Linked DNA regions of Cricetulus griseus. The protein of the gene in region 1 interacts with the protein of each later gene in a pairwise test. Links are inferred from orthologs where the notes say so. Each region holds a gene or a part of one and is shown on either strand. Other genes may lie near its edges.

Region 1 (4,276 bases):
TCAGTGAGCCCATTTCACAGGACAGTCACTGAGGGTGGTAGGTCCTGCCTGTTGAGCCAGCACATGGAGCTTATGTGCCTACCATATCCTGCTATGGACCCAACCTAGCTGGAACCTGGAGCTATCTGGACCTTGGTAGCTAGTGCCTCTGCAACCTACATTGGGCATAGATACTACTCCTATCCTGTTACTTGGTTCCCTCCTAGATCCCCAGCAAGCCCTTCCTCAGGCTGTCATTAAAGGGCCTGCCTGCCCGCCCTGCACAGATTGGTATGGCCTGGGTTTGCTCTCCCTAGCCATCACCATCTGCTTATCCCAGCTCACTGTCACCTTGCCTAGCTCCTTAACATTGAACCCACACTTGTTAACCTGTGGGATCCAGTCTCACTGATGCTGGGCCCTAAAGACACCCCCAGCTTGAAGGTCAGCTGGAGGGAGTGTGCCAGGATCCTCTGTCTTGCACTCCATACTGTCCTTTATTTCTCCTCAAGCAGAGTATTTTTCTAATGCCTGGACTACGCTGGCCAGTAATTTCTAAAGCAGTTTTGGTACTTGCTTCTGGCCTGTGTGTATGCTCATGTGACTGGAAATTGCGAGGCACCGTAACTGGAGTCAGTTGGGTGTGTGCATGTGTGTGGGGTGGTGAGGATGGGCTTCCCTGTAGACTCCACCTTGGGCTTTCTGTCTTTTTTTAAAAATTAGTTTTAATATTAAAAGTACTGATTTTTTAATATTGAAAATAAAAGCATTTAATATCTTTTAAACTACGTCTGCTGCACACATGTGGACACGCTGGTGGGGCTTGCAGGATGTGGGCAAGAGTGGTGGGTAGCTGAAACATGTGCTGGGAGGCCTCTTCTTCCTCACTGGAGTCTCAGGTCATAGATAACTGCTTAGGCTGGGGCTTGGCGGAAGGTGCTCCAGGCATGGAAGCAGCGGGTAAAAGCCCGCTGTTCATTGCCTTTGCGGACCAGGCGCAGGCGGCGTGGCCGCTCATGTTCTTTAGAGCGTGTGTGCTGGATGTATACCTGGTAAGGAAAACAGTGGGCCCAGGTAGTCCTCCGAGTCCTGCTGGACTGCCCAGGATGAGGGAGGGGGCAGGTGGTTCCTGAAGTCATGGGCTGGCTTTAGTGCTGTCCCTTTCTTACCTGGCAGGCCTTCAGACTCAGTTTGATCTCCACTTGACTTGTCTGGGTCCCAACCCACATGTAGACCTGAGGATACAGTGGAGGAAATGGTCACATGGGTGTCTTGGCCTTTTTGGTGTTTTACAGTGCTAAAAACTGAACCTGGGGTCTTTGTATATGCTACTCAAGTGCTCCGCATGCGGCTGGTGGGAATGCTTCCCTCTGGACCGTCTGTTTCCATCTACAACTCCTTACCCAATGGGCAGGGTCTGAGGTGGGGGAATGTCTTACTTCCTGGCCATTGTCTAGCAACATGATGTCATCATCTGCCAGGTCATCTTGGCAAAAGTCAGAGCATTTCTCAGTCACTGCGAAGTAGCCCTTCTCATTGGAACACCTGAAGGGCAATGGTTAAGGTGAAGGTAAGCAAGTGTCAGCACTAAAGAAGCTAGAGGAGGGGTCAGGGCACTCACCTGAAGAGCCTTGTGTGCTTCATGTACTCTGCATCATCATCATAGGGTTTCTGTGCACCAATGCCTACCCAGAAGAAGTTCTCTGGCTCCTCACCTTCATTGATGACCTGTGGAGAAGGGTGTTAGCCAGGACTGTCCTCTGCTCTCATCTTCCTGCCTGCCCCCACCTCTGTTACCTGTTTGCTGTAGGAAGCATCAAACATGCTGTTGAGGATGTCTTCTGCCAGCTTGGCTTCATCAGGGTCTGATGCCCGGCCCACCCAGGCATACACAATGCCTTGGTTGTCCTCACTTTCAAAGGGGACCTGTGGTGTACATAGGGCTTGGGTTAGGTCTAGATTATTTCTTGCCCACCACCCTGCTCTGCTGTCCTGCCCACAGCCTCACCTTGAGGATGAAGCAGAACTCAGAGTTGAGAAGGCTGGAGTCTGTGTTGATCTGGATGCACCTAGGGAATAGGGGGTGGTCAGCAATGTTACCCCCATCATGGAATCCTGCCCTTTCCCCATTCTAGGTACCTACCGGGTGCAGAGGGCACTGCCATTGGTGCGGATCTGATAGAGGCTCGGCTGAAGAGTACCCTGGCCCGCCTTCCTCTTGCCCCGGTGGATGATGAACTTTCTTTTGAAATGGGACAGGAACTTGGGGTTCTCCTGCTGCTGTGTCATACGTACTACCTGGGGATCGGAAGTGCTGGGTAGTTTCCTAAACCCTACCTACCTTTCAAGGGTCAAGCCTCCTCAGGTCTGGTTTGATCACACTACCATCCCAACCATAGGCTATGGGGCACAGCTCAGGGCTTGTAGGAGGGCATACCTCCAGCTTGCCAGGGAATAGGCTCTCAAACTTCTTCTGAAGACTGAAGGTGAAGGTGAGCCAGCCCATGTTAGAGGCCTCCCGGCCCTGCCAGAAGTAAACGATGCACTGAAAATCTTCCTCTGGCTGCTTCTCCTCTGCCTCAGCTTCTGCTTCCTCCCCTTCTGTGCCCTGGACCGAGGCCTTCCCCTCCTTGACTTCCGTCTTCTCTTCCTCCTCATACTCCACAGGCACCCAGTACCTGTGATTTAGACAATGGTGAGCAGGGGTTGCATAGGGAAGAGGACAAGAGGGTAAAGTATTATTATGGCACCTGCAGAGGAAGACATAGCAGTCCTGTGTGTAGAAGTGGCCAAACTCTTCCTCCGGCAGTCGAGTGAACTTCCTGCCCTCCAATACGAAGCCTTCCATGCCATCCAGGTCCTCATTCCATTCCTCCATCAGTTGCTCTGCCTGTCACCCCATCCCCAGGTGAGGTCTCAACACCATGCTGAGCAAAGCCCCCTTACCCCTCACACCTCCCCCTCACAAAGGCTCCATCCCACCTCAGCCAGTGCCATTGGTGGCTGCCGTGGCAGGAAGAGTGCAGTGAGGTCAGCCTTCATCTGGTCTTTCTTCTCAGTGTCACGCTTTACTTTCCCAGAGAGCCCCTGGCCCTGCAGCACAGCCTCTGCATTTCGAGTGTAGTCTACTGTCAACACATCGTCCCAATTTTTGAACTTAGCCTTGAACACCTGTGGAGAATGGTATAATGCCATAACTGGGGAGAGGTACTGCAAAGTTAAGGTTGGGGCTGAGGGATTCAAGCAAGGTTTGGAAAAGCTGGTCAGAGGTCAACTGGGTGGGGTCTAAACAAGAGCTGGAAACAGCCTGGAAAGGTGGAGCCTAGCAAAAGAAGTGGAGACAGGCTACAGAGTGGATGGTTCTGCAAACAAGGTGGATTTGGACCCACCTTTGCAGCACAGTAGTGCCAGTAGGCCAGCAGAGTGTGCAATGGAAAGCAAGCCTCTGGGTGTGGGGGTATACCTGAGCCTCGGTGCCTTCCAGGCTGCGGCTGACCACTGCATGGCGTGGCCGGTGCAGCATCCCACACAGCTCCTGACCTAGTTTGAGTGCAGCAGCACGCACTAGTCTTGGGGACTTGCGGCCAAGCCAGATGAATACATCAGACCAGCAGTCCAGGATGTACACACATCGTGTGTCCAGCAGGCTCTGCAGCTGTAGGACAAGGGGCTGGAGGTCAACACCTGGCCAACATAGGAGACAGAACCCGTGCACGCCTCCTACCAACTCACCAGTCTCATTCCTGGCATTAGTTCCACCTTGGGCCGTTTTTTATGTTCCACTGACAGCTTGTAGTTGATCTGGGGAAGCTCCAAGTAGCCCAGGCCCAGGCCCACCTGGGAGGAGAAGGAGATAGGTATAGCAGACCCCACCACATTTGCTCTGATTTGGGGCCTGGCTCCCCACCTTGCTATTTGGACTTGCTTCCCTTCAAACTGAACTACATTTTAAAGAGCTCCTAGCAATGGGTCTAGTGTTCATTGGGCTTTTTTCCTAGTGCAGGGAGCAGTTGTAGGGTTTTGCCTACACCAGGCAAGTGCTCTACTATAGAGTCCTATTCCAAGCCAGTGGAAGGGCATTTAACTTTATTACTATTTTTAAGTAGGCATATTGTGCCTGTATATATGTGCATTGCATATATCCTTGGTGCTTATGGAGGGAGGCCAGAAGGCATATTGAATCTCCTATAACCAGAGCTGCCATGTGGGGTCCTGGGACTTGAACCCAGGTCCTTTGGAAGTACAAGTGCTTTTAGCCACTAGGCCATCTCTGCAGCCCTTGAAGGGCTTGTTGGTT
Region 2 (3,814 bases), on another chromosome or scaffold:
GGAAAGGTCCTGGCTGCTGAATCAGAAGAAGTCAGTGAGTGGCTGTGCTGCTTCCCTGAGCAACCAGCATCCCACACACCTCCTTGTCTTAAGGAGAAGATAGATCACTGCTAGCTACTTTTCCTGCTGCTGCTACAAAATGCCATGACAAAGGCAACTTAAAGGAGAAGTGGTTTATTTTGGTTCACAGATGAAGGATATAGTCTATCATGGAAGGGAGTCCTGGGGGCAAGAACGAGAGGGAGCTGGTCACGTTGCCTGTGTAGTCCACAAGCAGAGTCATGAGGGCTGGCTGGTGTTCCCTTTCTTATTTCTATGCAAGGCTCAGGGATGGCCCAGTTCAGGGATGGCCCACATTTAGGGTGGGCCTTCCCGCCTCAGTTAATCTAGTTAACATAATTCCCCACAGGCAAGCCACAGGCTACAGTTGCTCTCCCCCCACAGCGGAAAAATTACTTATCTGAGTGGAAGGGACATTGAAAGGTGGGCTCTGTGCATTTAAAATGGCACTGTGTCTCTTCTAATCTAAGAAACAAAGGCTGAGATTGGAAAAGAACTCTGGCTTAATCTCAGCTTGTTTTCCTTTTTGCGGTTTTGAAATGATGGCCTCATTTCTTCAGGACTCGCTGGCCGAAGTTGAGGAGAAGTACAAGAAGGCCATGGTCTCCAATGCCCAGCTAGACAACGAGAAGACCAACTTCATGTACCAGGTAGACACACTGAAGGACATGCTGCTGGAGCTGGAAGAGCAGCTGGCCGAGTCCCAGAGACAGTATGAGGAGAAGAACAAGGTAAGTACCACCCTGCTCAGGAATGCTAGGGGGAGCTGTGTAAATCCTTATATTTTTTAAGGATTTTTATTTTTGCTAACTATGGGGGAGGGGTGTACACTAGCTTGCAGAGGCCAGAGGAGGGTGTAGGATCCCCTAGAGCTGGAGTTACAGGCAGTTGTGAGATGCTTGATGTGGGTGCTAAAAATTGAACCCCGGCTTTCTACATAAGCAGTATATGCACTTAACTGCTGAGCTGTCTCTCCAAACTGCTTTTTAAACAGTGATTCTCCACTTGTCCAGGAAGCCCAGAGTCCGAGATTTAGAATACTGTGTCTTTGTCATACGTGGTGGCAATAGCTATGATTCCAGCATGTAGGAGGCTGAGGCAGGAGAATTGCAAGTCTGAGACTGACTTAACAGGACTCCATTGCCAAACAAAACAATCCCATGGGCAGGGGAGGTAACTTACTCTGCAAAGCATTTGCTGCATCAGACCTTAGGTCAGTCCTCAGCATCTGTGGTGGCATGTGCTTGTAATCCCAGCTGGAGAGGCAGAGACAGGTGGTCTCTGGTGCTTACTGAGTAGCCAGACTAACTGAATCAGCCAGCTTCTGACCAGAAGAAACCCTTTCTCAAAAACCAAGGTCAGGGCTGGAAAGATGGCCCAGTGCAGAGGAGTGCATGCTGTCTGGGGTGGGGGGGGGGGGCATGTTTGGTTCCCAGCACTCTTGTGGCTCTCCAATACCTGTAACAATAGCTCCAGGGATCTGATGGCTGTGGCCTCTGTGGGCATCTGCACATATGTGCAAAGACCCATACACATATACATAAGTAAGAATAATAAAATCAATCTTAAAAAGAAAAACAAAACTCAAGGATGACAGCTCCTGAAGAATGACACCCAAGGTAAACTTCTGGCTTCCACAAACCTATGCACACACACATTTACATATATACATATAAAACTCAGACATCTGTGCTTTTCTCTGAATAATTTGAAATGCATAGTTTCAATGTGTAAACTAGAGAGTTTTACTAGAATGTTGGTATTTTGCATGAAAATAAAACAACCATGAAAAAGCATGTATATAGCGGCTCGGTGGTGGTGCACGCCTTTAATCTCAGCACTCAGGGAGCTGAGGCCGGCGAATCTCTGTGAGTTTGAGGCCAACCTAGGTGCTGGGATTAAAGGCGTGTGCCACCACCACCTGGCTCCTGGAACACATCTTATCAAGAGAGGTTTGGGAAATACTTGTCAACTGCACACAATCTGAGGATTAACTTTAGAGGAAACTGTCTGATCGTCCTCTATGGAGGGCAGAGAAATGAGTTTGTGTCGTGTGCCCCTTGGAAATGGTGATGACGTAGTAAAGGGTTGTTTGTCGTGTGGGAAACGTGGCTCATGAGAACATGAACCTGTGACAGAAACACGCCACTGAACCGCAGCCTCAGTACTGTGCTCGTCACCCACAGGAGTTCGAGAGGGAGAAGCATGCCCACAGCATCCTGCAGTTCCAGTTTGCCGAAGTAAAAGAAGCCCTGAGGCAAAGGGAAGAGATGCTTGAGGTGGGCAGCTCCTTTCTTCTTCCCTTTCTGTCGGTTCCTTGCTCTTTTAGCCCAGGTTATTATAACAAATATACCACAAACTTGGTGGCCTTGACAACAAGTGTGTATTTCCTCACAGTTCTGGAGACCAAAGTCCAGGTCGGTGTTGACTCCTTGGGCACAGAGAATGTATGCTTTCAATATGGACACTCATCCTATCCAACCTGGGACCCACCCTCATGACGTCATTTAACCTTTATGCTTCTGAAGATACTATCTCCAAACACTTGTCACCTTGGAGGCCAGGGAGTCAGCTCGTAGCAATCCCTAAAGTTAAAGTCCAGGGATCAGGCTAACTTTCCATCCCTTGAGCAGAGGGTTCCTCCTGTGGGTGAAGACTCTCAACTCTGGTGTTCATGTGTGTGTGTTGGGAGGTGTGACAAATTAATGCCCACCTCTGAGAAGTCCACATCCTAAGTCCCTTAAAGTAAATATGGGACAAAAGGAGATTTCAAAGGTGAGTCAAACGGACCTTGAGATGGAAGGTTGTCGTTGATCATCTGTGTGGCTCTGACACAATCACAAGGTACCCACGAGAGGGAGTCGCGTCAGATGCTGTGGTAGGAGCAGTCGAGGTTAGAACTTGTGAAGAAGAAACACAAAGCAAGAATGTGTGCAAGGCTTAAGACGGTGGTTCTCAACCTGTGGATCACCACCATCAAAAAGCACATCGTCTCTGATGATCTTGGGAACCCCCAACCATAAACTTACCTTCGTTGCTACTTCATAACTGAGATTTGATGCTGGGTGGTGTCTCAGTTCCTAAGACCATCAGAAATCTGTGTTTTCCCATGGTCATGACCCCCAGGTTGAGAACGGATGTTCTAGGAACTGGGAAAGAAAAGGTTATTGATCCTCTCCTCAGAAGATTCTTTCAAAACAGTCTCAGAGCTGAGAGAATATAGTCACGTGACTTTCGCGGAAGCTGTTGTCACTTGTTACGAGGAAACTGGCAGGAGTGTGTGCCACATAGCATTCTGATCAGCAGTGCGACACACATATGACAGTGGCCCCATAGATTTTATTACATAGTGATATTGCAGTCATCACTATTATCCGTAATTTATGATGTTTGCAAAATGGTGGGCTCAACTACCTACACTTTCTCAGACTGATGTCCTACAATTAAGCAAAGCATGACAGTATGGGGCTGGTACAGGGTTGGTAACTTAATCGGGACTATAAGTATGGCTTTGAGGTAAGCTGTCAGCCAGGCTGGTTTTCTTCTGGGCACTGAGAGTAGAACAAAAAAAAAAAGAAGAAGAAGAAGATCCTATCATGCTGCTGAATCCTGGGGGTGGTGAGACCTCCCCACCCACCCGTCCCTCACCATGGTCGTGGTCATCCAGCACCGAATTCTTCTCTCTGCTCAACCCTTTGTCTGCTTTCTTTCTGTCTGTTCCTCTCCTCAGGAGATCCGACAGCTGCAGCAGAAA

The links.
Region 2: the proteins of Flii (region 1) and Lrrfip1 interact in binary tests that used the Homo sapiens proteins (3 or more experiments, as listed by UniProt). The link is inferred for Cricetulus griseus from reciprocal best matches to the Homo sapiens genes FLII and LRRFIP1.

Annotation. Positions count from the first base shown.
Region 1 is NC_048600.1:74,709,912-74,714,187, forward strand, and holds the end of Flii (protein flightless-1 homolog), read right to left. Parts: intron 3,817-4,276; coding exon 3,712-3,816; intron 3,635-3,711; coding exon 3,443-3,634; intron 3,151-3,442; coding exon 2,962-3,150; intron 2,870-2,961; coding exon 2,730-2,869; intron 2,658-2,729; coding exon 2,417-2,657; intron 2,278-2,416; coding exon 2,123-2,277; intron 2,049-2,122; coding exon 1,988-2,048; intron 1,906-1,987; coding exon 1,777-1,905; intron 1,708-1,776; coding exon 1,601-1,707; intron 1,525-1,600; coding exon 1,419-1,524; intron 1,215-1,418; coding exon 1,149-1,214; intron 1,029-1,148; coding exon 894-1,028; 3' UTR 711-893; downstream 1-710. UniProt on the Homo sapiens protein: Is a regulator of actin polymerization, required for proper myofibril organization and regulation of the length of sarcomeric thin filaments. It also plays a role in the assembly of cardiomyocyte cell adhesion complexes.
Region 2 is NC_048595.1:442,611,785-442,615,598, forward strand, and holds part of Lrrfip1 (leucine-rich repeat flightless-interacting protein 1), read left to right. Parts: intron 1-620; coding exon 621-791; intron 792-2,246; coding exon 2,247-2,339; intron 2,340-3,694; exon of another isoform or gene 3,695-3,709; coding exon of another isoform or gene 3,710-3,814.